Drosophila melanogaster: one gene and its partners. The protein of the gene in region 1 interacts with the protein of each later gene in a pairwise test. Each region holds a gene or a part of one and is shown in the gene's direction. Other genes may lie near its edges. The genes, in order: Sox21b, CG42727, CG6765 and CG15812.

What was found.
Region 2: the proteins of Sox21b (region 1) and CG42727 interact in a two-hybrid assay, tested with the Drosophila melanogaster proteins (one large-scale study listed by BioGRID).
Region 3: the proteins of Sox21b (region 1) and CG6765 interact in a two-hybrid assay, tested with the Drosophila melanogaster proteins (one large-scale study listed by BioGRID).
Region 4: the proteins of Sox21b (region 1) and CG15812 interact in a two-hybrid assay, tested with the Drosophila melanogaster proteins (one large-scale study listed by BioGRID).

Annotation. Positions count from the first base shown.
Region 1 is NT_037436.4:14,127,005-14,134,255, reverse strand, and holds the start of Sox21b (Sox21b), read left to right. Parts: upstream 1-2,931; 5' UTR 2,932-3,118; exon of another isoform or gene 3,119-3,698; intron 3,699-7,251.
Region 2 is NT_033777.3:15,344,898-15,351,699, forward strand, and holds CG42727 (uncharacterized protein), read left to right. Parts: upstream 1-3,150; 5' UTR 3,151-3,221; coding exon of another isoform or gene 3,222-3,545; intron 3,546-3,604; coding exon of another isoform or gene 3,605-4,606; 5' UTR 4,607-4,805; coding exon 4,806-5,441; 3' UTR 5,442-5,494; downstream 5,495-6,802. Other genes in the region: Surf4 (surfeit 4), read right to left, coding at 1-255, 1,012-1,062; CG31301 (uncharacterized protein), read left to right, coding at 1,408-1,786, 1,897-2,255, 2,312-2,508, 2,567-2,728, 2,793-3,015; CG42726 (uncharacterized protein), read left to right, coding at 3,222-3,545, 3,605-4,606; Trs33 (TRAPP subunit 33), read right to left, coding at 5,497-5,886, 5,955-6,023; Tmtc4 (transmembrane O-mannosyltransferase targeting cadherins 4), read left to right, coding at 6,454-6,802.
Region 3 is NT_037436.4:8,509,649-8,519,967, forward strand, and holds CG6765 (uncharacterized protein), read left to right. Parts: upstream 1-3,118; 5' UTR 3,119-3,425; intron 3,426-4,225; exon of another isoform or gene 4,226-4,547; coding exon of another isoform or gene 4,548-4,993; intron 4,994-5,051; coding exon of another isoform or gene 5,052-5,199; exon of another isoform or gene 5,200-5,273; intron 5,274-5,422; 5' UTR 5,423-5,440; coding exon 5,441-5,517; intron 5,518-5,735; coding exon 5,736-6,802; intron 6,803-6,864; coding exon 6,865-7,418; intron 7,419-7,551; coding exon 7,552-7,610; intron 7,611-7,667; coding exon 7,668-7,769; coding exon of another isoform or gene 7,770-7,782; exon of another isoform or gene 7,783-7,823; coding exon 7,824-8,010; 3' UTR 8,011-9,090; downstream 9,091-10,319. Other genes in the region: Pus7 (pseudouridine synthase 7), read left to right, coding at 437-555, 616-803, 865-1,236, 1,292-1,394, 1,454-2,876; CG6683 (uncharacterized protein), read right to left, coding at 4,548-4,993, 5,052-5,199; GstO3 (glutathione S transferase O3), read left to right, coding at 9,306-9,333, 9,864-10,319.
Region 4 is NT_037436.4:3,156,321-3,163,092, forward strand, and holds CG15812 (uncharacterized protein), read left to right. Parts: upstream 1-3,670; 5' UTR 3,671-3,776; coding exon 3,777-3,779; intron 3,780-3,786; exon of another isoform or gene 3,787-3,850; coding exon 3,851-5,404; 3' UTR 5,405-5,699; downstream 5,700-6,772. Other genes in the region: BtbVII (BTB-protein-VII), read left to right, coding at 1-821, 880-1,266; ND-30 (NADH dehydrogenase (ubiquinone) 30 kDa subunit), read right to left, coding at 2,237-2,895, 2,954-3,028, 3,089-3,152; rasp, read left to right, coding at 5,879-6,772.

The DNA of each region.
Region 1 (7,251 bases):
GGCCATCGATGGATCGATGCTGATTTCGATGCTTCGATCGTTTTTGAACCAAATCTGTTTGCCTTGTGGCCTATGAAATTGTATCCGATGTTTATCTATAAGGGCAGAGCAAAATCCGCACGGTGAAATATATTGCGGAAGGGGAAAGGGCTTCTTTTAGAAGTCCCAAGCGGTTGCCAAACACAACCGAAAATTTGAATGATTTTCCTCGTGCTTTTTGCTTTTTGATTAACATTAATGAGCGACAAAAAGTGCAAAAATTTACATGGCAACGGCGGCATCTCTGCCCCCATTGTTGTCCTGGTCTTTAGAAAATTTTCAATTCACCGCGACAGGAGCTTGTCAGGAGTGTGTGGAAGCCTCATCCACCTCGTCAACCTATCCATCCCCAACAATAACGATTTAGGCATTAGAGCTCCATTGAAATCTTTTTCGTTGCGATTGTTGAGCTTCATTCTGCAGGCTTAGGGCCTTGAAGACGGGCTCAACAAGATGGCAAATCCCCCATCTGGCTGTTCTCATCACAATATTCTCTATCTAAGTTGCAGTCGGTGCATTGTCAGCGCTTTTTGTCTAACTACTCATTAACATTTATTTGCAAGTGCAGAGAATGCTATGGCAAATGCAAAAGCAACTGCCATGATAAATATGACAAACAGACAATGGCCAGATAGACAAACAGAAAACAGAAACTGACAATGGAAAAATGCACTGCGAAAAAAGGGGGTAAGGTGATGAAAGGGATAGAGAATGGTCGACATGGTAGTAGAAAAACAGAAATTTGTATTCGCCCCAACGGAGTGTTCACTGTTCAGGTTATTATACCTTTAGATATATTGTAGCTTAACATGAATATTATAACGAATTTTTTAGATTTTTACGAAGGGAACTTTAAAAAAAGGTGTATTTTATCATACTTTAACGAAAAACTAATTATCCATTTAACTTGAATATCTGACAAACCCCATTCAATAGCTAGCACAGCCATTTTAGGCATTCAGGTGAGTGCAGTGTATAATTACAATGGCTGACTAACTGAGGAAGCGAGACAGACAGAGCGAAAGAGAAGGGGACATAGCCAAAGACAATGGACACAACCAGTACATAGAGTGCGACAGGGAGCGGTAGAAGACGAGAGAGCGAGAGGGGAAAACCAGGTCCAAATAAATGGAACAGTTGCAGTCCATCCATCTATCCATCCAGCAAGCCCTTCGTCACTCACTCAGTTCGTCAAGTTGGGGCTGGAAAAATGTGCGCCATTGTTTCCAACTTGCAATTGTTTGCTGACAATTGGCAAAAAGGCAGCAAGTACTCCTCTTTTCTCAGACTTTTCCACTATCTCCCATGTAGGAAAGGCTTAGGTCATTAGAGTCAAATTAAATTAGAGTGCTAGTAGGTAGTTTCATCTTATAGCAGGTACACACTGTTTGCATTTGTCATTAGTTCGTTGTTAATTAAAACGAAGCCAAAGTGCCAGACGACAGAACTCGACACGACAGAGTGAATGGAAATCAAAATGCGCTAAAAACCGCCCTGAAACAATGGCAACACCTGCGTAATGCCCTGGCCCACCCAAAACCCTTTACACAAAAAGTCCTGGAACAAAGCCCGACCAAATGCGAATGGAGTTGGGACTCCGGAGTTACGAGCCGTTGTCCTGGCAACGCCACCACCACCAAAGCAAATTAACAAAACAATAATGTAGACACGAAAAATTGCAAAGCAATAGTAGGCACTTTGCAGGACTATATACTCCTAAAGTCCAGGTGTCATCATGCACAGATATAAAAAAATTAATTTTGGAAATGGTATTTCATGTGGGTCAAAACACTCAATCGTTAATTGTCATTCCAGTACAGAACGTGTTTTTTAGATCAAAATGTAGTACTATGTGCGAATCTACAACAGACACTACTTTAATCTTTGTCTGAGCCAAAGATAAAGTGTCCCAAAGTGGTCTGTCTGGACCAATTTTGGACTATGGCCACCTTGGTTAACATATCCACCATTTTGAGCTTGGGAATTGGCCAAAGGCGAATCGTAGTTGCGGGCCAGATGTCAGGCTCAGATCTCCACGGTTCAGCTCGATTCAAAAATAAATGTCCATTAAGATTAGTTGATTTTGCTTTCGATAGTTTGTTTTTCACCTTTTTTTTATTTTTTGGACGCTCTTTGCTGGTCTCTAAGCAAATGCGGTAAATAATCGAGAAACTCCCGAAAAGCTCACTCCCAATGGTGGCACCTCTTACCAGTAAAGAGACCGTCGTAGACCCCCACTTTACCCCCATTTTCCACTTGGCATTTCATGTAACACGAAACCTTCCCCAACCAGAAGCATTCCAATTGGAAACGCCCATCATGAGACTCGTTGTTTAGAGTGAAATGGCTATGGTGGCTTAGTAGCTACTCCGTTTATCTCGCTCGCACTCCCACGCAACACCTGCTCTGGTTGACCGCCCTGCCTCTGCATTCTGCATCCCTTTCTGTCTGACATTTTTTATCTCTGTTGCTCTCGTCTTTTTTTTCCTGACGTCGCAGTTCTTGGATTTTTTTTTATTCTTTCCTTCACGAAATGTCACCTGGTCGTTGGGCCTCTCTCTCACCAATACAACGATATTTTTGCTCTCAATTTTGAATTTGTTGTGGATGTAGTTTCTTTATAAACAGGCTTATAAAAAACATTTAACAAACCAATAAGAAAGAAAGCTCTCGGAAAAAGTATTAATCCAGAGCGAGAGAGAACACAAGCTTTTGCAGAGAGGATTTGCTGAGTATGTGTGTGTGTGCTTCTGTGGAGCGATACTGTTACATAGCAGCTGTCTCACCGCCCCACCTGCCACGCCCCCCGCCCCATTCGGTGACTGAAAGACTCGTTTTTTGGCTCGTGTGTTTTTGAAGAGAGCGCGCGCCAAGTTTTTAGTTACGCGTCGGAACGGATCCGTTGAATAGCCGCCAAAGCGCGCTTAGATGCAGCAACAGCCAACTTGGCCAAGAAGAGCCGATCAGCCAACAGCTAGCGACGGTTTTAGCCCCCTCACAAGAAACGCCAAGAAACAACCGATATTCGCAAAAAAAAAATACAAAGGATAATACTAAAAACATAAACAAACTGTTCTCGGTAAATATCCCAAAGTAAAAGTGAATCCTAAACAAACCAAACTTTTCTTTCCCATTTAACTAAATAATAAAACACAAACCAATTCAAAAAACAGTGCTCATATGATATCAACTTTCAACGCTCGTAAAGTGCTCATAGAAATGAAACAAAATACAAATCCAAATAAAGCAAAGCGATTTAAAAGTCTCATAAAGTTTTGAAATCCTAAGCTACTTATTTATCTTGCAAACTTCAAATCAAACAAGCTCCATTCTTTGTAGCATCAAAACATTGGATGCACCATAAGTATCTTATCGATGAATGGAAAGCAAACAACACACGTCAACATAAACTAGTGATATCCATTGGAAAAGTGTTCGTCAAACAGATTCTGTTACGAAACAGCTCAAGACCATAAAAGTCAACAAATTCAACATTTTATGGCAGTTCGGAAAGTGGAATTCATAAGCGACAAAAACAAACCATAAACACATATTATCCAAATAATTCGGTAGTATATTCCGCATATATGCTGCCATCGAATATTTGATTCCAATCGCCGGAAAACGGGAAATTTAAAGGAAATGCAGAACTCTTCGAGGTAACTTCATTGAAGCCAAAACATTATGGATTCTTTAGTTAGTTGTTTAACTTAGCTGCTTTGATTTTAATTAGCAAAACTACATATAAACACATTTACTTACATTTTTTTAGTAAAAGTAAAATATGATCTATGATAAAGTCTGATCCCATAGAACTGAGCATAAGTCTTAAAATTGTTTTCCAAGTTAATTGAAATTACTTCAAGTCAGAAAGCAGGTAAAAAATCAATTAAAAATCCCTTTAACCCTTTACAAATTTCATTTAATTCACCGCCGTTCAGAACGCAATTTGAACAACTTTTCTTGACCATCAATTAGGTAAACACGGAGAGAGCTCCACATAATGAGTCTGAGTGCGTCAGATACAAGGGGAATCAACAGATTTTATTGTTTGGATAATTTCAGGATTTTCCTCTTTTCATTTTCTGCGAAATCATTGTCGGAATCTTTATGCCCCACTCGAGGTGTGTTTACTTTTGCTTTCGATCTTCCACTTGAATTAAAGCAAGCTCGTTTTCTTTCTCTGAGGGGCATTCAAAGTTGTTTGGTTAACTTAATTTCGAAATATAAATGAAAACCGACTCAAGGTATGTGAAAAGCCGCAATGAAAAGAGAGTCAAAAGCACCAGAGAATTTGAAATGACGCAATTAGAGCAAATAATAGTAAAAGAAATAGGGAAAAACAACGTATGTTTATTAATATATTTACACAAAATGTGACAACAATTGAATTTAATGTGACGCGCCCCCATCATATAGAAATCGACTTTGGACCAGCACACAAAAAACCCAATTGTGCAAACAGAGTTTTCTGAAATTATTTTGCGCACCAGATGTCAATCGAATATTTTTACGCCATTCTTTTGGCCATTGTGTTCGCTTTATAAATTTGCTCAAAAAAACAGGCATAATCCAAAGAAGAGTATGAAAAAATTCTAATTAATACCCGGCTGTATCAGCACACATATGGTTAGCTGACTTTGTATCGGTTCTTTTTCTTTTCGATAGCCCTTTGGATAGCCCTTGGCACAAACTTGACACTAAACCTTGGAGGAGCAGGGTATGTGGTTATCGAGACACTGGCACGTTTACGAGGCGATTGTTGCGAGTGTGAAAGTTCTTAATTACAAACATTAGGGGGCCCAGCGACTTAGGGCCCTGAGAAGATCCGATCGCAGCGGGCGGGCAAGACGACACTTTTGAATGGAGGGTCTGCTGGGACCGAAAACCCGGTGCGTATCCGCGATACATTTCAACACAAAGTGGAGACACTTAAAGCTCTACCTGTGTTGAAGACGAGGTGGAAGACTGCAGACCGCGAGACTCCTCTTCGCCGCTAAAGAATGAGCAGAAGAATATGGCTGGGGGAGAGATCTCGGGCTCAGCATGTGGCTAAGCCGATCATAATTCTTGTTTGACATACCAACAAACGGATGAACAAATGAACGCGAAGCAGCAACAACACGGCCAACTTGGTCGGGGGTTACGAGTGGATCTATATGGCCCCCGAAACTCAAGTGGCCAGCGGGTTAATTTTACTCCTACTGCGATACGATACGAAGTCCGAAACAGAAGAACGGCTTCAGCACTCGATTTCCATGAGAAAGAGTCGGACATAAGGTGCCTCTGGTGGGTTATCTATTAAGGCTACTAGATTAACACCCTGAGAAGACCCACGCTTTTGGGTTTAACGGTTACATTTCCGTTACAAATAAATATCGGAGCTGCATTTCGGTCTGCGTGGAGGTGCAGCGAATCAAAAGGAGGAGCTGGCATATTCACAGCAAATAAAAATATCTGGAGTGCAATTTGTGCACAGCTGGTGGTGCAACCGTCGATTCGGATGGTGGCCCTGTGGTGCAACTGATACTGCAACTGCGACACTGCACCACATCGGAACAAGTGTTATGTCCACATAGTCATTTTCGGTTTTATTGCCATTTCAATTACTAGAATAATCACAAAATTAAATTAGTTCGAAAATAAAAATCCAAACATAAATGCAACTTCATATCAATTGATATATGCGTAGTGTTTTCAAAATATGAAATTTAGCGTATACCTTGAGTGGAGGCACAAATAAACATAATCAATTCATTTTTCTCAGTGTATTCTGCCAATTCGCAACATAAAAAGGAGGAGCAAAAATATGGAGAGCAACTTGACAACACAGAAATTTGTTTGCACTCCATAAGGATTACAAATATGCGTGTCCCTTTGCTAACCGCTCCCCGTTCCCAGCTCCCCCTTTTCTTTTAATATAAATTTCATGCTTAATACGCATGCTTGGGCAATTTTTACTTTAACACCAAGTGGTAATGCCCGGAAGCAGTACAGATGTCGCCTCGCATAGCCCAACGCAAGTTATTGACCACGATGCGTTGCATGGCCAGAAATGCCAATGAACAGGGCCAAAAAGAGAGACTGCGGAATATGGCAGCAGAGAAAAAACAGTCGAATTGGACAGATAAAGATAAATAGTTTCGAACCACAGTTGGCCACTTCATAAACCCAAGGATATTCCAAAATTATTGAGTACACGTAACGATCCAGAAATAGTTTTATGTTTTAGATTTATGAGTCTCAACAACTTTTTAGTAGCTTTTTATCTACTATAGGCTGTAAATCCTAAAAAATTATATTTTCTAAATAATTTAATAAGTCTTTAGCTTTAATAAAAGCAAGCAACTAATAGTTTATCTTGTACAAGCCCTATTATACATATACATTTTGCAATACGTACAATATGGGATCGCACTTACCTCCTTAAGTAAACAAAGAATGCTAAATGTATGCTACTTAAATAATTTCTTGGTGATTATTTTAAGAAGCTTAGCTATTTATAAAACAGATGATTTAAACATAAAGATCAAGAAATGTGTCAACGGCATTGTTTCTTTTGAAAATATTACCACGTTTTAGTGATACAAAATATTTGAATTATCCCAACTGAAAACAACAACCACTTTATTTATCTTTTAATAAGAACGCTTAAGTGTCCTCCCTAATTAAAATGATTAGCAATGATCATGATTATTCAGATGTAATACTGATAAACTTTAACTAGAAAGTGAATTAACCTGATAAGTTTTTACATGAATTTTAAAGGAATCCAATTCAATTCATACTGCAAGCAGTCCACTTTAATTAGCTGACTAGCCACTCAGATATAATTATATTATGAATTATTCCCGTTTGCGTTCGCCAACAACTCGCAGTCGTTTCCCTCCCCTACGCCTTGTGACCCCTCAATGCTCATTGGGGCATTGTTAATCAATTAACTAATTGATTTCAGCTCTTAAAAGTATGTCGTCTGAGGCCCATTCTTCGGGGACAAAAAGAAAACAATGCCGAGTGGAGTCGTGGACTTTTGGGCCAAAAAACCCACTTGCGAGCCGCGCTGGCGGTTGCCACCTCAACTCGTCCAGAATCGGACTCACTCCTTTTCAGCGCCCATTGTGTGGGCCAAATGTCAACCCTTAAAACCGACCGGGATGCACAATAACACAACAACAAATGAGACGACTACGACGACGTCGTCGTCCATCCTTT
Region 2 (6,802 bases), on another chromosome or scaffold:
CACAATGAAGAAAAGCAGTCCCACCGCTATGTCGACCTTAAATCTGGCCATCACCATGCCGCAGCCGCCCAGTTGGCCCAACAGGTTGACGAGCACAAAGACGGTGGCCAGGAACTTGCCGCAGCCCCAGCTCATGTCCATGTACTCCCGCTGCTCGTTCCATTGGATGTACATGCGCAGGCCGTCCTCGAAGAACGTGGCGATGAGGCACAAACGGGCCACTGTGGGCAGCACATTTTTGCCGCGCTTGATGACCTGCAAAAATGAGTGTTCGATTGGTTCTGGTTGAGTTGAGAGCAATTGGGATGGGTGCTGATATGGTGATAAGGGGACTACTGACAAGGTGATAAGGGATTTAAATATACAATGCCGTTGAGCGTGGCTTGCGCGTAGTCGCTAGAAATCGCCCGCTGGCTGTGACGTGTCTCTAAACGCTAGTATCTCTCGATTGCTATCTGCCAGCTAACGGGTTTTGGCCCGGCTGTCAATGTAACTTCATACATGTATGTATGTAAATCGCGAGCAAGTTCACCTGGCTTTCTAGCCCAACTATTACGGAACTCGACCTGGCCGCTGGCGTCCAGCTGCCCGCTATTTCTTTTTCAACACTTTCACTTGCGGAGACAGCTCTCTCGCACACACACACAGACACATACGCATCAGCACACAGGTAGAAAATAAGCAGCGAGAGAGAGAGTTTTCCCTGCGGCAGACGCAACAACTGTCAATTGCGGTACTGGAGTACAAGGCAAACCCATCATCTGGGTTGCACCCAGATTCTTATTGGAAGCAAATGCCCAGCACGTTGCCCCCATGTCAGCGGATCGTGATTATATGCAGCCAAGACCCTCGAACTTTGCCGCGTTTGGGTGACGTTGGCAGTTTTCCCAGTTTGCAGCTGCCAGGGCTTCCCCGCAAACGCCATTTGGGGCGCATCGGGAAGACGCTTCCTGCGGTGGATATGGAGTCCTGGTGGACTTCTTTTTGGCAGTGGAACCTAATATATCTTACCTGTTCCGCCACATCCTCCGTTTTCGCTATGTACTCGTTGGGTATGCTCATGTTGGCTGCTTTGGGCTGATCCGATCTCTCACTTTGGGGCAATCGTCTGTGGAGACACTTTGGCAATTCGTTTCTGACTTCTTGGGCGTCGCGTCGCTCTCCAAATTGTTGTTAAGTTACCAAAAAATCATGAATTAAAAGGCAGGAACTTAAAAACACACACGCACGACAAAGTATAGCCGTGATGGGGCCTATCGTTATCGCTGCGTTATCGATAGCCAATGGGCAACACATGGCCAATCGAATTGATAATTCGCTGTGAATGGGAAAGCAGCAATCAAAAAACAAGCGTGCCTGTGCTCATTTTATTTGACAAGTTGAACGCTATTTATTTTCCCTGTAAAGATGTCCGTTCAACAATCCAAGCCAAAGCAGAAGAAAGTCAAAGTTAAAAAACAGGATGATGCCGGCTATGGATCCGGGGAATTTTCCTTGGACTGGGATGTAGACAGCTACAAGACGGAATACGAAAGTGATGAGCACTGGGATCTGCGACGCAGCTTCATGCTGGCCCACAAGGATCGTTTTGAGGAGGACCGGCTGGTGTGCCTGGCCCAAACGTTCGTCAACATGGAGTTCATGGGCTGCAAGTATCCAAGCGCGACGATGCTTTTGGTGGCCGAGTTGTCCAAGGAAATCGCAGCGGATTTCCGTCAGAAACGGGAACAGCGCCTGAAGAGAACATTTGTCTCGGCGTCGGATGCGGCGGAGCAGCGCGCCAAAGGTAGACGACTGAACAATTAGTGGGCCCATAGGCGAGAGAAGATTCTTTTTATCACTAGTAACTATACGAGCCAGAGAGACCAAAGCCTAATGCCTAATTCCAACTACTAGGGCGCCGGGCTCCACCCCTTCCCTCGACGAGCTCCCCAGAGGATAGCTCACACATAAAACGCCAGTGTTTTGGCGGCGGAGATCCAGTCGATCTCTATCAAGATCTGCGTTTCGGTCGGCTCATTGTGTACTTGGCTGGGGGACGAGCCTGCCTGCAAAACTCCTGCAACATTGCGAATGTCAAGTACGAAGAGCGTGTCAGCCGAGATCAGCCATTAAGCGATAATACAAAATACGCCGAATTATTAGTAAATGATGAGGTAATAGCGACAGGACAGGGGGAGAGCCTTAAGGCGGCCAAGAAAGCTGCCTATAAGCAGGCGCATTTGACGATCCAGTCCTATTGCTATAGTATTAAGGTATGAAATTTCTGAAATAATGTATGCCTTATTAAACCCGGTACTACGCTACACAGCTGAATGCCACGCGCGACACCATCAAGGTGGAAAAAAACAAGGACGGCGTCAACATCAAAGTCACCAATGAGTCCGCCGACAGTCCGTGCGATCCCAAATTGGACCCCAGCAACAAGGGATATCGCATGATGCGACTGATGGGCTGGACAGGCGGTGGCTTAGGGCGACTGAAGCAGGGACGTGAAGAGCCCGTATGGTAAGAGTTCGACTTTTAACGTATCACCAAACGAAACTATTTTATTTTATATTTTCAGTTATCTGCTAAAGAACAATCGTAATGGTCTTGGATTAATAAATCCAAAGGGAAATTTCGCTGATTACCGACGGCTTATAGAAAACTATGTGAGATCGGACGATATACGTGACATGCAGTTTGAGCCCACGTTTTCGAAGGAAGAAAGAACCACGCTTCACCAGTAAGCACCGTCATCCCACATCGTAAAAAATAATTGCTTATTATGTTGGCATTTCCCTTTACAGAATCGCCAGACAATTTGGCTTGCGTTCCGCTAGCTATGGGAGTGGAGAGAGCCGGCGCCTTTTGATTACCAAGAAGATCGACTATGGCACAATACTGACTGAGGTCCTGCTTCGGCGGAACCCCAAGTTTTGTGATCGTTACTTTGTGCACGTACCCATGCAGAAGGCGCACCTGTTTCCTGGTCATGTGGCCGACCTGGAGATGAACGATGTATGTGAATAGGCAGGACGAACAAAATCTCAGCTCATAGTACTCTTATAAAAAGATCTTTATTCTTAGTTTTAATATAAAGGATGTAAAATATATGAAAAGTATTTCTGACCGTGTACTTTGTTTACGTTTCGTGCTGAATGGCTGCGAGAAAGAAGAAGCATAGCTGCAATTTTAGTCTCCTGTATGTGCGATTTCAATGCATTTAGAATTTAGCAATGAATAAATGTCCTCGCTGCAACTGCGATGCTACAGGACAGAATCGCCTCGTCACCGACAGCTGTGGACACACCAAGTGTCGTCTCTGCCTGGTGGCGGATGTATCGGATTGCCTGGAATGTCGAGTTGCACGAAGTGTCGATATCCAGGAGACACAGGAAACGCAAGCAAGGACGTCGGCTGATAAGCGAATAATTGTCACAGATAAGGGCTACCACTGTACCGTCTGCAATAAGGATTTTCGCAGCCGGACCCAGCAGTATTACCACCTCACCTGCGGCAACGATCTTCTCAAGAAGTTCAACTGCAAGGAGTGCGGACGCGTGAGTTGCAGCATGTACTTATGCTGTGTGTAGTTTTCATGACTGAGATTTCCTTCCAGAGATTTGCTACCAGTTCACATTTAAAGTACCATCTAATGAGCCATGAGAAACAATCAAAACACTCGTGCAGCGTCTGCCACAAAAGTTTCAAGCAACCAATTGTTCTACAGCGCCACATGCTTACCCACAACCAGGAGAAGCATTTGTGCCCAATCTGCCAGAAGGTTTTCCGCCGCAAGAGCTCTCTTGCCAGCCACCTGGCGATCCACAGCGATCTCGGCCTGCAATTTAAATGCGAGCTCTGCTCTAAGCATTTCCAGAACAAGGCCAATTTGAACCAGCATCTGCGGAAACACGACAAGAACAATATTCGGCACATGTGTAAAGTGTGCCAGAAGTCCTTTCTGCGACAAACCACGCTTCGGCTGCACATGAAGCGCCACTCAAATCGCGAACGTCAGTCCTGTTCCCTGTGCGGCAAAAGCTACAATGATCCGGATGCTCTGGGCCGACATTTAAGACAACACAAGACTGCCGAACGCTACCGCTGTATCCAATGTGACATCACTATCAACCGAAAGGACAACATGCTGCGACATCTGCGATCCATGCACCCTGGTTGTGCGTTTGCCAGTACTGTTGAAATGGTTACACCGAGGTCCAGTGCTCAGGAGGCCACGACGGCGGAAGAAAGACCATCTCAGACTGTAAGATACAACAGTGTGATCCAGAGTGTGGGCAACGTTGAGCCAGTGATGTTGCTGCAATCTACGCCACTGCCATCTCAACTCCCTGAACTGCAGATGGAGAAAGGGAAAGCTGTCCCAGAGCATCTGCCTCTGCCAGATGTAATGCCAGAGGAGAATGTCCAGCTGTATCGCAAGATCATCTTGGATCTGGACAACGAGGAATACTCTAGCGAACCTAGCCCCGATGCCCAAGAACCAGCCATGCAACATCACCAGCCGCGTGTCCCGGGGCAAGGTAGCTCCAAATTTAGCGAGATGCACTGGCGCAAGAATTTCAAATATTGGTACCAAAAAGAAGAAAACACAAAGTGACGATATGATCTCTAATGAGTTGGCCCTTTTTCAAAGGGGTCCTCTAATTTATTAGAGATCAGTCAGGTGCTGCGAACCGAAGCGAACCGCAGCAATCTTGTTGGCCGCTAGCCATATTTCCGCGTGCCGGCGTCACTGCCAAGTTCACCGGCCATCGGAAGCAGCAAGACCGCTTAATTTGCAACTAACAGTATTCAATATGATGGACGAGCAATCGGAACTCGAGACACTGCGTGAAATTTATTACCTAACTGATGATGCGTCGTGCAACTGGCGCAAGTTGCTTGTCCTGGGCGACTGCCTGGACCAACAGCTCAAGCGCAAGCTGCTCTGGATGTGGCCGACATCGGTGGACTTGGACTACTTTAATCAGCTGCTAGCCATGCACGACATCCAGCGAGTTTTGAGCATCGGCTGCGGCAGTGGGCTTTTGGAATGGCTTATGACAGTGTCTGGAGGTCGGAAAGTCCCCATGTTTGGCTTGGAGGTCGATCGCAACTGGTGGCAGAGCAAGTACTCCGTTCGAAGTTTTATACCGCTTAACTATTTAGAGGATGCCAGCCAACTGGATACGGATTTATTGACCAAATGCTGCAGTGACGTTCATCCGTGTGCCTTGCTCTTCTGCTACTTCAACAATCGAGGAGCTTTTCTGGACTATCTAAATGTGTATCAAGGAAAGTGGCTTATATTGATTGGACCATTGCCCGCCCTGGGAATCCACACAGATCCCAATCCCGCCCAGCCCCAACTGCCCATCGACCAGTGGATCCTGCGAGAACGCCTTAACTGGACTGACCACAACATTGTGGCATTCTACGAAAAGATAGCCTAGTCTAGTCTGTAGTATCTCTATAATTGTAGTAATAAACCATTGCCTTACATCCTAATTAGTTCCTGTTCACTTCTATGTGAAACTTGCAGGCGGGTATGCTTTGCACTTCGGCCGTCACGGTGCTGTTAATGCCTAGATTGCTGAGAGCTCCTCGCACCAGCCCGCACGTGAAGGCCACGAACTTGGGCGCGTGCTCCAGCTGCTTGGTGCCCGGCGAGATGCGAGTCAGAAAGCGGAAAGCCTTGTCCTGCACAACGTACATTCCGTGGTTGTTCGTCCTCAGGTTGTCCACTTGCTTCTTGTATATAAGCATCCAGAAGTCGGTGCATATAAACTTCATAGTCTCCAACTCGTCCTTAAAACGCGAAACTTCACGGGTGAGCCGCTCAATCAGGCGGTAGCCGGTGGTGAAGCCTATATACTCCAAAGTGGCCAGGTCGTGCTCCTAATAGGCGGAACCAAATCAAAATCGGTTGTATGACTGATTTTTTTTTGCGTCCCTCGTGTTCCTACCTTATTGCTATCCAGACAATAATTGACTATCTCTGCATGGAGGCAATCGAAAAGGATTTCTTCAGACATTTTCGAGGATTTAATTTTTCTTTGTGAGTTCAACAAATTTTTCCTCGGATTTGTTTTGATCTAGATTTAAACAGCTGTTGCAAGCGTTAACGGGCGAATGTCTTGTTTGCTTTTAGTGGTTTATTGTTATTACTATTATTTATACTTTAATATCAAGAGTATGTATAATTATTTTAATATGAATACTCTAAAATGAGCAGATTTGATAGATCTATTTAGCGTAATTTCAAATCATTTTATAACCATATATTTTTCGATGCATATATTTAGCTAAGCTGCACACATTTCTATCGCTGATCTGGCATCACTATTCAGTGAGGGGGTGTTTGGACAAAAACACAACAAAAAATGTATACAAAACAATTCCGATTAAAATTCGCAGAATAAGTGAATTAAACTTGAACAATTGACAATTAGTAAATAATCCAGTATGCTAGACCTCGTTCACAAAGCCACGCTGCATAGCATGGTCTGTCAGGCAATCCTAGTGTTAATCTGTTTGCTATGCTACGGATGCGGTGGCCTCAGTGGAGCGAAGTTTGTCTTCGATGATACGGTGGCCATCGTCAAGAACCGGGATGTCAACTCACTGCCCACCAACTGGACGGCGATCTTCACGCACGACTTCTGGGGTGCTTCCTTGCTCAGTTCCGATTCCCACAAATCATTTCGGCCACTGACCACCCTGATGTTCCATTGCGAGTATGCCCTTCTGGGGCTAAGTGCCGCCCACATGAAGTTCCTAAACCTCCTGCTACACTGCGTCAACACGCTGCTCA
Region 3 (10,319 bases), 5.6 Mb from region 1:
TTGCTTCCTTGGCTTAACCTAATGAATTAATCCGTTCCAATTTTTGGTTATTTCTCAATTTTTACACTTCTTTCCAATGCTTCTTTGTATTGCACATTTTCTTTACATTACGTACGCAGTGTGAACTTGATCTGGGACCAGAAAAATACCAAAAAATACTGAAGTATAAATGAGGAAAATATACTAACAAAAGTTTTATGATATGTTAATATTAAGCATGTTTTTAAATTATATTTATCATACAATATAAAAAAAGAGGAATATTTGCGGATGAACTTATGCTAACAACCATTTAAGAAATCTATTTCCCGAATAAATGGCACATGCGGCCACCCTAATAAACCTAAAAAGCTTATTGTGAATGGGCACATCATATGTTGTGCAAAACGTGGATTTCATTTGCCGACAAATTTTCAAACGCGAATTTTGAACCAAGATGGGCAAGGATCGGGGCAGAGGACGTAGGAATAACCATTCCGGGCCATACAACAAGAGCAACTGGCGTGGTCAGAAGAAGGATCGCCCCCAAAACAATGGTGGCGGTCAGCGCAACAGGTACAAATTAAATCCCATAAATAATATCGTTGTTAACCGGCGTTTTTCGTTGGACAAAAGTGCTCCACAACAGAAATCCACGCTGCTGGAGACCCAAGTGGGCATTACGGAGTTCACTAACCCGGAGGCACCTGGCTTCACGGGAATACTTAAGTCTCGCTTCTCTGATTTTCACGTGAACGAGATTGATAGCAATGGAAAGGTTCTGGAACTGAACGATCTCAGTGTGCCTAAAGTGGCTATTGTGGGTCTGTATTCACCAATTATCCTGCATACTTGCTTATGCTCATGCATCTCATACTATAACAGCTGTGGCCGAAAACGAACTGGACAACTGGCGGAAAGAACTGGAGGCAGTAATCGGCCCGGAAGTTTGGCAGGATATAGCCAATCTGGCTAAGGCCAAAAACGATCCCGCGATCGAGCAAAAGGTGGAGATTGATGTGACCACTCTGGATAAGGAGCAGCGAACACAAGTCCACCAGATGATAAAACAGCTTTACAAGGGCAAGCTACTGTCCACAACCATTGGACAGCAGCAGGCTAAGCCGAAGGTCCAGGAGGAGGCATCTTTGGAAAATAAGGATGCGGCTGAAGGTGAAACCTCAACCCAGAAAGACTCACAGGTGCCGGCAGAGGAGAAGAAGACTATAAAAGTATTTAAACCAAAGCCAGGACGCGGTTAGTAGAAATGATTACCCAGGGAATTCCTTTTTTTATGCATCGAATTCCATAGGTGACAAACGCTGGAGCTTTCCGGCGGATTACGTGACCTTCCTGGTGCACAAAACCAATTTGGTTACCAGCGATGTGGCCTCTACTTTAGCAGCGCGACTGAAGTAAGTTTGATCAAATTTTAAATGCTTTAATATACTAAGAAAACATTATTTTTCTACAGCTTACGACCATCGCAGGTGAACTACAGCGGCATCAAGGACAAGCGGGCCAAAACCACCCAGAAGTTCTCCGTCAAGCGTCGTACACCAGAGAGCATTTTGGTTGCAGCTCGCTCCCAACGGAATGTTCATATCGGCAACTTTGGATTCGAATCCAATACACTGAAGCTAGGCGATTTGCAGGGCAATCGTTTTCGTATTGCCTTGCGACACATTGCCAAGGAGAAGCGAGAAGAAATCGAGCAGGCACTGCAATCATTGAAGGAACGCGGCTTCATCAACTACTATGGCTTGCAGCGGTTCGGCAACAGCGCCAGTGTCCCAACCTATGAGGTGGGTGTTGCTCTGCTCAAGCACGATTACAAACTGGCCTGCGAACTGATCCTGAAACCCCGGGACTCGGATGTGGAGTTTTTGCGTCCCATACGCGAGGAGTGGTGGAAAAATCGCGACTCCGCGGCGGCAGCTGCACAGATCTACGGCGAAAAGTTCATCGAAAAGAAGCTGCTGGACGGCTTGGCCAGATTTGGTGAATCAGATTACTCATCAGCTCTGCGGCAGATACCACGCAACATGCTCATGCTATATCCACATGCTTACCAAAGCCTGATCTTCAACAGGATAGCGTCTAGACGAATTAAGGAGTTCGGCTTGAAATTGATACCCGGGGATTTGGTTTATGTGGAGCAGGATCAGTCGGAAGCCTCGGAAGAGCAGGCGCAGCAGGGCGAGGCCTTGGAAGAGCAAAAAGAAGAGGAGCCTAACGATGAACCTCTGGAAGTCCCCGAAGGGGATGAAGCCATCGAAGAGGAGTCGATTTTCAAGCGAAAGGTTCGCCCGCTCACAGCAGAAGACATCGCTAGCGGCAAGTACAAACTTTGCGATGTGGTCCTTCCCCTGCCTGGACACGACATCACCTATCCCAGCAACGAGTGCGGCGCGTGGTACGAGGAAATGCTCGCCGAAGTGGGTCTTTCCTCGGATCAACTGAAGCACAAGGAGAAGACATACGCATTGGCTGGCGCCTACCGCAAGATGATCATATCGTCCAGTGATCTCAAGTGGAGCTTTAGAATGTACAATACGCCGGAGGATACACTTATCGCCTCCGACTGGGAGCTATTGAAGAACATTCCGGTTGCACCAGAACCAGCTGAAGCTGAGGCCAATTACATGGCACTCCTGCTGGAGTTCTCGCTGCCCACGGCTGCCTATGCCACCATGTTTTTGCGAGAACTCTTAAAGCAGGACACATCGTCAGCATCGCAAACGCAGTTGGAGAAACAGGCAATGGCTAAGGAGGACAATGAAAAGAAGGCGGTAGGAACCCAGGAGGAACAAATGGAGGTGGTAAAGGAGGTGGCCGACGAGGATGGGCAGGAAACTGAGCAGGCGGAAACTCAGGGGGCCGAGGAGGCGGTGTAGGCCAAGTGAGATACCGAAAATCAATATGCTCAGGAAATCAATTTTACGCGCGCTTCGTATCCAACTTCGAACCAACCACAACAATAACAATGCGCACGTGAGGACGAGGGCTGCTCCCTCTCTCTCTCTCTCTCACTGTCGCATCCCGTGGCTCGCACCCCGTCAATCTCAATCGCTCTCTCTCTCTCTCTCTCTCTCGCCTGGGAGAGTCCTTTTGGTCCTGTTTCTTTGACTGCGATTTTATTCGTTCGGTGGCCACCAACGCGAAAGCTCAAGCGACGCGCTGCGCAGTTTCCCCAGCTCAAAAGTCCAAGTCGCACGGTTTTCCCCAGCGTTCTCAATGAAGAGCAATAACAAATTATTAATTGACAACAAATAACGAACAAGCACGGTCCCCCAAAAATCCACGGACTCCATCCAATTCATCCAGTGATTTAAAGAGATTTTAAACCAAATAAAAAAACCAAGAGGCGAGACAAGGTGAATTTCCAGTTAAATGTAGCATTTAAACGTTTTGGGCGCGTACTTTGAAAATCCATTTATTAAGGCGTAAGTATACATTCGAGTCTACAAATTGTTTATAACTTTTACGACAACACTGAACTAAACAATCACAGAACTGTACAATATTTGATTTTGGCTCTGGCAGCCTATTGATTTTTGTTGTGTGCTTGTGCTGGAAATCAATCGATAATACGGTGTTAATACCAAGAGCTGAGTCCGGGGATTGGGAATGGGAATGGTCTAGTGGGTAGGTGGCTGGCCGTAGGAGTAGTTGGTTCATATAGTGGCTTAGTGCGTCGGAGGGTTCACCATGTACGTGTGAAGTAAGGGGGACTCAGTCGGTACGAGGGGGTAGTGGTAGTGTGGCATCAGTCGTTAAGGGTGCACGACGCTCCTCGCTCGTTATGTTTTTGTTTCGGCCCACTGCTCCCCCTGCGGCAGTCGTCAAATTAATAAACTAAATGCTTGTTTTGGCGTCGTCGTCGCCCTGTCCCCGTGCTGGAGGCCTTCCCCCGATCCGATCCAGACATGGATATTGGACATGTTATTGCTTGCGCGCGCATTCTTTGACTCTTTGACCAGTTCCCAGCAGCAGCTGCGTCATAGTAGGAGTTTTTTGGCGTGGCTCAATTCGATTTTCCCTCGCCTACTCCACCTGCTCCCCGCCCGCCTGTTCAAAGTTGGCTTTTGCCACACAGATAGCTTCCTACTGCATTACTATACACTCCCGCAAGTCTCTGGCTCTATAAATGACCTCTGGCGACAATTGATGCTTTGTTTGGGGTTTACCAGTTGTCTTGAATTTTAAATTGCTAATCTTAAGCCTCAAATAAAATAAACTATTTAATCACAGGCGTGTTAATGTTTTATCATATCATACAATGCAATAGTTAGTTTGTATAGTAAACTTCATTAGATGCGAAGATTAGGTTAAATGAATGGATTAACAATATTTTTTAGGGAAGCATACATTTGGAAAAAGAAGTTATTTAGTATTCGCTTAAGATAATTGTCCAGATATATAAACTATAACAAAAATGACTTAATTATTAAACAATTATATGATCAGTGATGTTTGCTACTTTTGATATCCTATCACGGCATGTATGTATTTAACTTATCATCATGGCAATCTTCCTTTATAACTATATCATCTTGGCAATCTTCCTAAATAACTATATCATCGATTTGCTCGTCGTTCAGGGCGCGCAGATTGCATTTGCATAGGTAGGCCAGAATGCGTTTCTCCGCCTTAATTCGGTTTGCTTCGCCCAGTCCTTCAAGCAGGGCTTCTATCCTCTTTTCTGCTTGAGCCACTGGCGTTGCATGGGCAGGATTTGTGGGTGGTGCTGGTGCAGCTCCCGCAACGGCCAGCTGCTCATCCATGGCCTCCTGGAGCGGATCCTCATCATCGTTGACCTCGTCGCTGGATTTCAGTGTGCTCCTACTCAGATCACCCGAATTTCGGTGATTAATCGGATGGTGGTGATGCTGCAGGAATTTCAAATGCGGCAGAAGACTCCAATCGGAGCCAGTGCCTCCGGCCTTTTCTTTGGCCAGCTCCCGACGCTGTTTGGCCACCAGATGATTCCAACGACTGACACAGGCACTAGCTAAGTTAAAATATAATGAGGAATTAGGGAATATTTATACAATTTATCAGTTTCTTACCTTCTGAATTTAATGAAGTGGCGATGCTGCTCCAGATTTCCGGATGTCGCTTCTTATGCGCTTCGTAGGGTGCGTTTCTAAGTTCGCGCTCATAAAGCTTGGGATTAGCCCTAACCAGCTCAATAAGTCGCGTGTCGAACTGCGACATTTTGATATTTTCAAAATAAACACAAATGAAAATATGTAAACAAATGGAAGCTAGCGAATAAGTATGACCGTTGCTTCGTGTGAGAAATATGCTGTCACAAGAGCATGGTGGCTAAACCCTCTATTCACCACTCCTTGGGTGGTGTGGTGGGATCGGGAGATTCAAAATAAACACCCCACTGGCGGCATTTATTGATTTATTTATTGATTTTATCGTTGTACAGGAGCTGCCGGCCGCAGAGATGGCCGCCGAAAACTATCACCTTAAGTGGGACTCACACCTCACCTATCTTAACTCTTCCATAGCCACACTTTATAAGTAAGTACCACTGTACCATAGTTGGTACATATTTGAAGTTTTTTGTTTTTTGTAATTGTGATCTAGCAGCGTTTTTAATTGTTTAATGTTAAAAACATTAAATGTATCAGGGTCAGAGGATTAAACACACATTTTCTAAGAACCCTTCTTCAATATTCTCCAAGAGTACTACAAAATACGTAGATATGCTATATTAACGCATCATATTTCCCCTTTAGGAACGAAAAGTTCGCCGATGTGGTTCTGTACAGCTCCTACAACAGCAGCGGCATCCCCTCGGATATACCCACAGTGGGCATCTCGGCCCACAAGTTCATCCTGAGTGCTTCGTCCCAGTTCTTCGCCACCATGTTCGAAACGGCACCGATCACCAATCCCAATGGAGTGCTGTATGTGGTCCTGCCGCCGGATCTTAGCCATCGCGCCATCCAGATCCTGGTTCAGTACATGTACAGCGGCGAGGCCACAGTTTCCAACGACATACTTAACGAGGTCCTGCGCGGCGGTGAGATCCTCAAGATCCGTGGCCTCTGCCGCACCAGCTCTTCCAATGGCGGTGGATCCGGCTCAGTGGTCACGACCACACATCATCCCCATTCACTGGCCGGGCATCTGCATCCGCGAGAGGCTAGCACCATGTACATGTCGAATGGCACTCGAACCGCTTTGCCGCCCCCTCCGCCGCCGCCACAATCAACCATGTCGGCGCAACTTCAGGGAGATCTATATGCCAGCAAGCCGGGTGGATCGACACGTTTCGCTTTGGATCACCACCACCTGTCGTCACACCACAGCCACCTGAATCACCATAATCCCCAGCAGCAGTTTCGTGGACTTGGTGCCTCCGTGATGCCCAAGGACTCGCCTGTGATCATTAAGTCACCCAAATTGGCCGCCCACACAGGACTACTAACCGTCGCGAGCAGCAGCAAGTTGGGCATTTCCGTCAACAAGGAGGTGGCCATCGATCCGGAGGACAAATGCTGTTTCGCGGCACCCGGTCAGTTGGAGTCGCAGTCTCACCCACCACCACCAACCACCACAACGACAACAGTAGGAGGAGGAGGAGGATCAGTTGGAGGTTCAGGTGCCCCGCCATCGCAGCCCATTTCCATTTGCACGGAGGTGGGCTGCAGCAGTTGTCCCCTGACCGCCGGACCAGGTGCTGACCAAGCGGAGACCACGCTGCGGCGGACAGAGTACGAGGAGCAGGCACTTCGTGAGCGGAACGAGGTGGGCCTGGTCTTCGAGCGACGTCTGAGGAGGGAGAGCGCATGCGAAAGATGTGAGTAAGAGTACTCAGCACAGCTGCTAATGATGACTAATCCCATGTTTTATTCCCCTCAGCTCGGGACTACTATGAAGCACCACACTTTGAGCACGTGGTATCCTCTCGCCTGGCAGCCACACCTCCGCCACCACCACAGCAGGCACCACCATCACATCCGCCGACCCTTCGACATCCGCACAACTTCCTCACCATCAAACAGGAGCCGACCGACTGGAGCAACAACCCACCAAACGCCTCCAGTGCGTCCAACAACAACAATCTGGAGGAGTTGCCATTGGCTTCGCCCAAGCAGCCACTCGACTTCAAGATGTCCGCCGTGAAGCTGGAGGTGAATAGGGATCGCGGAACACCCTCCGAGGAGAGCGAGGAGCACACGCTGCGCGACTATAACAACTTCAAGCAGCTGCTGGTCTGCGAGATCTGTCAGAAGTCCTTCGAGGACACCAAAATGCTGGTCCGTCACCTGGGCACACATGCCGGCGATCCCACGGGCGGCACGGAGAGGAATCTCCTGCCATCCAGTGCCAGCGGGAGCACCACATCCGCCTCCAGCAACCTCGCCCTGCGATCTGTTAAAACCTATGTGCCAAAGAAACGACGTCGCGTTTCGGTGAGTACTTGGACAGCAACTCATCCCTTTAATAAATCCAAATCTACTGAAGTATGATTTTAACTCGTAGTGATGATCGGTTACCAATATCTATTGGATGTATTAAAACCAGATTATATATTGTGTTTTTCAGCAACAGGAGAACAATATGGATCACGATCACGTAACTCTGCTCTGCGATTTGTGTTCCACGTAAGTGTTTGGAGTTATAGAAGCAAAATATATACTAACTCCCTTTCCCATGTGCAGATCCTTTGATACGCCGGCGGAGTGGGTGCGCCACATGAACAGCCAGCACACGGAGATCGAGTTGGCCATGTTCAACAGCAAGAAGGATGGCGAGCAGAAGGGGTGTGTGTCCTAAGGGCTAGCAAAAGCACACTGATGAACTCTGTTCACTTGCAGCCAGCAGCCACCGCCACCGCCGGCGACCAGCAGCTCTTCCACAGTGTCCAACAGCCAAATGCAGCCAAAGTATCCCAGCTCCACCGCCACCAGATCGACGCACTCCCTCATGCTGCACAAGATGAGCAACAGCGATGCAGTGGCCACAACCACATCTCCTGGAGCATCCACCTCACCGAATGGCTAAGGCCAGCCATAGGGATCAACTTCAAAGAACCATTGGACCATTGGCGAATGAAGCTGAAGGATTCGAAACCGGATGCCCATGGATAAATTTGAAAACAGCCATATTCTTCATTCATTTTCAAAAATCTCAAGTCGTTCCAATAATCAAAAGTGAGATGGATGTTTATATGCAACAGCAAGAACCGTGATCAAAATGCAACCAGTTTGCATATTTTATAGAGCAACAAACAAAATACAAATTGCGAACAAAAAAAAATTAACGAAACTATAAACGAAACTTAGAATGGAAATCGTCAGGCAACGATGCAAAACAAGACAAAGCAAGAAATTCAGAAACGAAAGCAAAGCAACATTTAACTCCAGTGTGTAGAATTTTTTTAAGTGTACGTATTTACTTAGTTTTAGCTATTTATCCCATGTATTTACCGTAACAACAACGCGCAATTGATTCGGGAAAAAAAACGATACAGTTTAATCATTAAATTTTAATGTTTACCATTTGCGGACATTTTTAAAATGAATTAAAAACTAAAAATTAATCATCCACTTGAGTTTTCAAAAGGATGCATCAAAAGAAATCCCATTTGTAGGACCAAAAGCAGCGAAAGGATCTTTTTACATTTTGATAAACAATTAATTCCAGCAGCAAGTGTAGTTGTCATTATTTATTACTTTCCAATTTGGTTTTTCGAATGCAATTACTGATAACAACTATTTATCGCGACTCAATGATGTCAGCAACTCTGTTGTATATGTATTAATACTTTTTTGTATTTTTTGTAAGGCATGAACGGAAATTTCGAGAACTTTTTTGTACATAGATTAAGTTTGATTTCGAAAGTCCGCCGATCGAAACTTTTTACGAAAAGTTCATAAACTTAAAACTCTAAATGTACGTAGTAGTTCCGAGGTTCAATTAAAAACAAAAATAAAGCTCCCCCCAAACCATGTAAAAACAAAATATATCTATATTTACAAACAGGCGTGATTATTAACAAACTAAGTAGATGTACTATGTATAATGCGGAGGAAATGATTGTCTCTTCCCACAAAACAAATCGCAAATGTAGTAAAGCGTTTTAAATCGAAATAAACGTCTGCGATGAGAAATCGTTTTTAAAAGCTAACGAAAACTAAGAGTCACGTCGCAAAAAGCTCGATTATTCTTATTCGCGTTAAAACACAAACAAAAAACTTTATATAAACAGAGCGCCGTCGAAGAGAAAACTCAGTTCGCATTTCACCGTCGACATTTCAACAGTTAAGCGAATTTGTTCAGTTCTGCAATTAAACAAAATGAGTTCTGGTAAACATTTGGCCAAAGGTAAGAGAGCAAGCAAAACCAGTTGTCGCCGCCGCCAAGAGAAACGCCCATGTCATTAGAGTGTTTATAGTATTATTTATAAAACAAGTTCTCCAACATTCAGCGTAATTATCGAATAACGATTTTTATATTTCATAATGTTAAAGAATATTGGCATGAATAACTGGGATTTTTTGGTTAAAAAGTTAGAAAGGTATATTATTTGGTAAATTTCAATACGATCTTTATTCTTTTACAATTGTAGGTAATGCATTAAATTAATTATTTGATTTGTAAAATTTACTTACATTTTTAGCTATAGCTTTCACCCCGATATCAGATAACCCATAATATTTACACTCTAAAAGATAACGTAGCTACAAAATTTGAGCTTTATCACGACTGGGCCCTATCAACATTAACTTAAGTGCAATGACTTGCTAAACAAATAATAATACAGGGGTGGATTTTAGGGTTCCACAAGTGACTCATGAAGTTATTGATTTATTTGTATAACCTAAATTTAACTGGTAAATAAATTCTATCTTTAGGTTCCCCCAAGCCTGTACTCCCTGACGATGGAGTCCTTCGCCTGTACTCCATGAGGTTCTGTCCCTACGCTCAGCGGGCTCATCTCGTCCTGAACGCCAAGAATGTGCCCTATCACAGTGTCTACATCAATCTCACCGAGAAACCAGAGTGGCTGGTGGAAGTGAGTCCGTTGCTTAAGGTGCCTGCCCTGCAGCTGGTGGCGGAGAAGGGTGAGCCCTCGCTCATCGAGTCGCTGATTATTGCCGAGTATCTGGACGATAAGTACCCGGAGAATCCGTTGCTGCCCAAGGACCCATTGAAGCGGGCACAGGACAAGATTCTGCTGGAACGTTTCAGCAGCATCACCAGTGCCTTCATAAACATCCTTGTGCAGGGCACCGGTCTGGAGGATTACTGGACGGCACTTGATATCTTTGAGGAGGAGTTGACCAAGCGGGGCACCCCATATTTTGGCG
Region 4 (6,772 bases), about 11 Mb from region 1:
TGCACCACCATCATCACCTGCTAACCGTTCCACCGCGGATCGAGCGCCATGCCTCTGAACCGGCACCCAGTTTGGCCCCCTCCACGCCGCACCTGCTCAGCGTGCCGTCCAGCACTCCCTATCTCATCAAGCAGCACTCGGATCCGTTGCTGCCTCGCCAGTCCGCACTGCACATGGCCGGATCCGGTTCTGGATCCAGTTCCGCGATGGCAACTGGCAGCAATCCGTTTGCCCCGCTGCACCGCCAATACTCGCATCCGTTGTCGGGTTCAAATGCCAGCTATGTCACTCCGGCGCCGCTTCACCATCCGCACCACATCTCACTGCCCGAGTCCATCTACGCCTCGGGGTCTCCGCCGCCGGCCGGCTCCTCGCAATACCTGGTGCCCACGCGCGTAGTGGCCTGTCCAGTGGTTTCTAGTGAAACGGCGGCAACGCCCACTAATGCCAGTCCCGGCTCCTCGTCGACAGTGTCGGCGGCCGTGTCTGTGGTTACCTCACCCAATGCGGGGCTACAGAACAGCGCCAGTAGGCATCCGTTGTCGCCCACTTTCTCCATTGGATCTGATGTGGCACACGAGCGAAGGTCTCCGCACTCTCCCTCCATCAGCAGATCGCAAGTCGTGGAGCGGGCGGGGAAGAATCCAGCAGAGGCCGCCAACGGAGGCGGTTCGAGGCTGCGGACTTCCAAGTCTGCCTCGGGCTCCATCACTGGCACCCATCTGCATCCCGGCCAGGCCACCATGAGCAGTTCGTTTGAGCATTTGCCCACGCTGCGTGTCAAGAACGAGGAACTGCAGCGATCGGTGTCTTCACCTCAGGTGAGTTGGATGTGTACCCGACCGAAAGATCACTCACACTGACTTACCTTTGTTGCAGACCCAACGGGAGATCATCACTCTCGAGAATCCGCGTTCTAGTCATTGTCCGGTCATTCGACCGGGTCCGGCGCTGGGCTGCAACTTCTGTTGGAACACCATCGACGGGCATGGACGCATTTTGCGCCGCAAAACGAAATACCATTGCCCGGAGTGCCAGACGAATTTGTGCATTGTGCCCTGTTTCCAGGAGTATCACGAGCGGCTGAACAACGAGGCGGCCGCTGCATCCAGTGGAGCGGCAGCGGGCGATAATCAGCTGAGCAGCAGCACGACGGGATCGGGGAGCAGCAGCAGTGGCAAGGCATCGCCGTACGTCTCCTCTGCCGGCAGTAGCAGCAGTGGAGCGGGTGCAGCTCGTCATTATACCAAGACGGAATCGATATAATCTGGAGCTGCCGTGACCAAGCCCGCATATTTGTATTTGTGACAGGACGGCCGCCGAAAGGTTGACCTCCATCAGACTAGAAGCCACGCATTGCTCGTCCTTCATTCTGGAACATGGTCCACACATGGCCGTCTGTCGAATTTGTTTTTTTGTCAGCAGGAAGCGCGAAAAACGCGCGCTCACGAACTGCACCCAAATTTTCATTTGTTGTCCCAGTCCCACTGTGCATCCGGCCCGGAGTCCGGGCACATGGACTGCGAGAGAGGGCGCCAGGTGGCGCCAGAGAATTGTTTTTTGAGCCGTGCCCAGATGCACGCTGCCATTGTAAAGTAACGAAAATCTTTTGGAACACCGTCGGAATGCGGGGTGAAAACTTTTTTAAATCGCTAAATGTAATAATATGTTTATGTGTGTGTATCTATGTACTATATGTGTATGTTCTTGTACAAAAAAAAAACCGAACTAAAATCTAACAAAAATAAAACGTTGACGACGGTGCAGCTCGAAGCTCGAATTACGATAAGGTTTTCACCAAGTACAACTATCACTACCACTACCCCAATCCGCTCCGGCCTAAACTTAAGTACGTCCTTGCACCTGTACTTTCGCCGGGCACCGCTGCGCAGGCGCACGAATTGTCTAGTGGCCCACACTTGTTTTACTTAACGTTTTATATCTATGTATGTATGTACGTATATGCACATGGCCCTCGAGGAGGTTTTCGGATGTGCTAGATCCGGCGAATTCGTTTAATTCTCAGTGTAAACTACCATGTATGTAAACAATACGGAAATCAATAAATACTTGTGACCCTCTGGTTTGATACGAATTGCGTTTTCATGTGGAAGTAGTTTAGGAACGAGCCAAGAAAGCTAAATAGCTAAGTAGACCGTCGTTTCCATTATGTTTAAACATCTCATAGTGATCACGTTTTATTGATCTAATTACCATTTAACAAACCGACTTCGGATTACTTCTTGGCTGGAGCCTGTGGCGGAACTACCTCGGCGGGGGGATTAGCGTTGCGGAAGTTGGGGAACTGTTCCCAAGGCGCCGACAAGTCAAACTTCCTGAACTCCTGGGCCAACTCCAAGGGCTCGCAGACGACTCGCTTCTTCTCATCATCGTAGCGCAGCTCTACGTAGCCGGACAGCGGGAAGTCGCGGCGCTGGGGATGTCCCTCAAAACCGTAATCGGTCAGGATGCGGCGCAAGTCGGGATGGTTGGCAAAGAACACGCCGTACATGTCCCAGATCTCACGTTCGTACCAGTTGGCCGCCTTATGCACCTCGCAGGCGGAGTCCAGAGGAGTCAGCTCATCGGTGTAGGTCTTAACGCGGATGCGCGAATTGTAGCGCAGCGAGAGCAAATTGTAGACCACCTCGAATCGGTTCTTGCGACAGGGCACATCCACGCCGGCAATGTCAACCAGGTTGGTAAACTGCGCCTGATGATGATCCTTAAGGAACTGCAGCACGGGCACCACGCCCTCTGGCGCAATAAGCACCTCCAGCTCATCGCCGGCGGTCAGCTGCACCTTCTGCACGTACTTGGGCAGGCACTCGGCCACATAGCGCCCGAAATCGGAGAGATGCGAGCGAGCGACTGCGTCCGGCTGGCGGACAGTGGCTGTGGGTGGAATGTCTTACATGTAATTGACACCGCGATAAAGTCGACTTTTACCTACGCTTATCCGCCTTCTTAGGCTCCACTGGCGTTGTACTGGCCATCCGAAGAGCAGTGGATCCAGCAGCGGGCACCACTGATTGTTGAAGGGTTAGAATAGATCAGTTGAAGCTCTAGAGGCAAGGCATTTACCAACCATGTTTGGCCGACAGAGCGGCGACTGCGGCACGGGCACCCAGATTCCTGATTAAGGCCGCCATTCTACAAACTGTTCAATATAAATTCAACAATTTGCTCCGTTTTTGACAATTTATGTAATGCTAAAATGTCAATATAGTTGTTGGAGCCTAGGGTTGTCAGTGCGCCAAATTAATCTACTCGACAGCCCTACTTCGGTATTTTGACAATTTCGGTACAACACAAATACCGCACATACATTATTGTATTTCGTGTACGTTAACACCGAATTATTCTTCATTAAAAACCTCAACATTTTTTTGGAATATTTGCTTAAATGATTTATATAAAAAATAAATATACCCTACTACTTGATTTATTATTTAATTAAAAATACCAACACGTTCCTTGAAGTACAGCAGATGGAAAACATTTACAATTATTCTTCATTACCAACCACAAAACTTTTCTAGAATATTTGGTTAAATGATTTTTAAAAAAAAGAAATGTACCCTACTACTTCATTTATTATTTCATTAAAAATACCAACACGTTCCTTGAAGTACATCTCATGGAAAACATACCGAAATACCGAGATCTTAGGTGCATTCGACTACCCTGGCTGAAAACTGTGACAACGCGTTGCGTTTGGAATTGCGAGAATTGAAAACTTCTTGGAAATCAATTGGAAATCAAAACACAACAAGATGGTAAGTGAAACGCGTCCTCCCAAATCCCCGGGATAAGTGAAATTTAAATCTACAATCGTCGCCGTTTGCAGAATCATCTTAAGTGGATGGGCCACTCATCCACGATAATGGACATCCAGCGCTCGCTGCGTAATGATAATCAGCACTGCGAGGTGGTGCTGGCCTCCAGGGACGGCGTTCGAGTGCGCGCCCATCTATTCGTGCTAAGCACTTGCAGCGAACTGATGCGCAACCTCCTGGTGGACGTTCCGCGCGGCCAGGAGGCAACCATAATGCTGCCCGACATCCGCGGAGATTTGCTGGAGTGCATGCTGTCCTTCATTTACATGGGCGAGACTAGCCTGCCCTCCGCGTCGCTCCCCGAGTTCCTGGAGGCCATTAACCTCCTCGGCATCAAATCTGCCATCAGCTTTGAGTGCAATCCATCGGCTAGTCCACCCAGTGTCGATGTAGAGAACCATTCGTTAGCCGTGGAGTCGGCCAAGTCCATTACAGGACTCCAAATCGCTGAGGCCGAGCTGCTGGACGACGAGGAAGAGCCACATCCGATGGTCTCCGTCCCAGCCACTACACTCGCGGGTTCTCAACACCAGCCCAGCCATTCCAGTCGGTCATTGGAGTACATTGATGTCTACGAGCCGCCGAAGATCACCTACTCCATCGAGCACATGGACGGAAGTTCCAGCGGCAACCAATTTATACTCACCGAGAACACGGGCACTTTCACCATAACGCAGTCAGCATCGAGTTTGTCCAAAATTGAGGCAGATGAAACGGGTACCAGTGGCGCTGAAGTGGACCTGGGCGATGATGACGTGGATGCGGACCTTGCTGAGGATTCTGAGGAGCACGAATCACAAATGATCGACGAGGAGTTCGCGCAAGCCGATCCTCTTATGGAACTAGAAGCTGGTACTGAAATGGACGACGATGACGACGTGCACGACCAACTTGTGGACGAGGAAATAGACGATAAGCCCCGCAAGTTGGGCGGGGGAAAGACGCGAATCCGTCGCCCCATAAGTGCGAAGGCTGTCAAACGATTGTCCGATTGCAAGCCAACGCGAATCCAGCAGTTCGCAGCTCTGAAACGTGAGGTAAAAGACGATATCAACGATGCTTTGGATCTGGCGGCCGACGCGGTTATCATCGAGGGCTTAAGCCTACAAAAGGCCGCCGACCGGTTTGATATCTCCAAGACAGTCCTCTGGAGACGCGTGCGCACTAATCCCGCCTACATGCGAAACAATCGGGAACGACCATCCCTGCAAGAGGCCTACGAGCGACTGAAGAATGGACATTCTTTAAAGAGCATCAGCAGTGAGTTGCAAATCCCCATGTCCACGTTGCACAGACACAAGGTTCGTCTGTCCGCCCAGGGACGCCTGCCCAACTTCGTGTCCTGCCGAAAGCGCGACAATACGCCCAAGGATGAGCTGCGCGACAAATTAGCCAAGGCGGTGCATGCCTGCCTGAATGAGGGAATGTCCCAAAACCACGCGGCCAACCTCTTCGAGATCCCCAAGAGCACGCTCTGGAGACACCTGCAGCGACGCACGACGAGCCAGAATAAAAAGGTCAAGAAGGAATTGAAGGCCAATTACGGAGACGATATGCTAAACTAGAAATAAGCCTTCGGAGTTCTGGTTTTACAAACGTTCAGCTGGAATCAATAAGTTACCATTAAGAAGCCATAAGCATAGGGTTTAACTTCATGTTGTCCCATCAGTGTATGTACATCAACCATATCCTATCTCCTGATGAAACCAAAATTGAGTCCGGAAGAGCAGCAAGAGATGCTATTCTAGAGGTAGTTTTGTAGACTTAGTTCTATATGTAGATACCATTACCATTTTAACTGCTGCTCTTTTATTGTTCACTCCATCGTAATTGGTTAATTAAATACAACCAAAAATTAACAAAAACTTCTTTTTAAATGGGTCAAATTTATAACATGAGAGAAATATGTACATGCATGTAATTAAAATGCCGGTACTCTTCTCCAGCAAGGGTATAAAAATATCGATATTTTCGCTGGTTTTTCACATCCCTATCGCAATCTTTTCCCGGAATGAAGAGTCCAAATCGGTGGTGTAGTGATGTCAAGGTTACCAGACCGATCCCTGCTCACCCGCTGCGAAATTTTCGTCTACTTCGGGGTCTATATAGCGTATATAGTTGTGGGCCTGTACAAGATCTATGGGCTGCGGGATCACATAGTCAAGGAGGCAAAGTTCCAGTTTCCGGAGGGCTGGAGTTTGTATCCTTTTTCCCAGCGGCGTCGGGATGACAGCAACGATGAGCTGGAGAACTTTGGAGACTTTATCGTCAGCTTTTGGCCCTTTTACTTGCTGCACGTGGCTGTCCAAGGATTCATACGCTGGAAACGTCCCCGCCTTCAGTGTCTGGGATTCATCGGCGTCTGTGCCTTGGCTCTTAGTGTAAACCTGGACTGGTCATCGATGGTACTACTAGTCACATTGATAGCCAGCTACTACATCGTTTCCCTGCTCTCACTAAAATTTCTCGTGTGGCTTTTGTCCGCTGGCTGGATACTGTGCATCAATGTGATGCAAAAGAATGTCTGGTGGACAGATCGCGTTGGTTACACGGAATACGTCCTGGTGATTGTCACAATGTCCTGGAGTGTGCTTCGCGGATGCAGTTATTCCCTGTCCAAGATTGGAGCTAAGCAGGAGGATCTTACGAGATACAGCCTCGTCCAGTATCTGGGCTACGCCATGTACTTTCCCTGTCTGACCTATGGGCCGATCATTAGCTACCAGAGGTTCGCAGCCCGGAGGGAGGATGAAGTGCAAAACTGGCTGGGATTCGTCGGAGGAGTCCTGCGCAGCGCCATATGGTGGTTGGTGATGCAGTGCGCCCTCCACTATTTCTATATACACTACATGTCGCGGGATGTGCGAATGGTGGAGATGATGGACTCGGTGTTTTGGCAGCACTCCGCCGGCTATTTCATGGGCCAGTTCTTT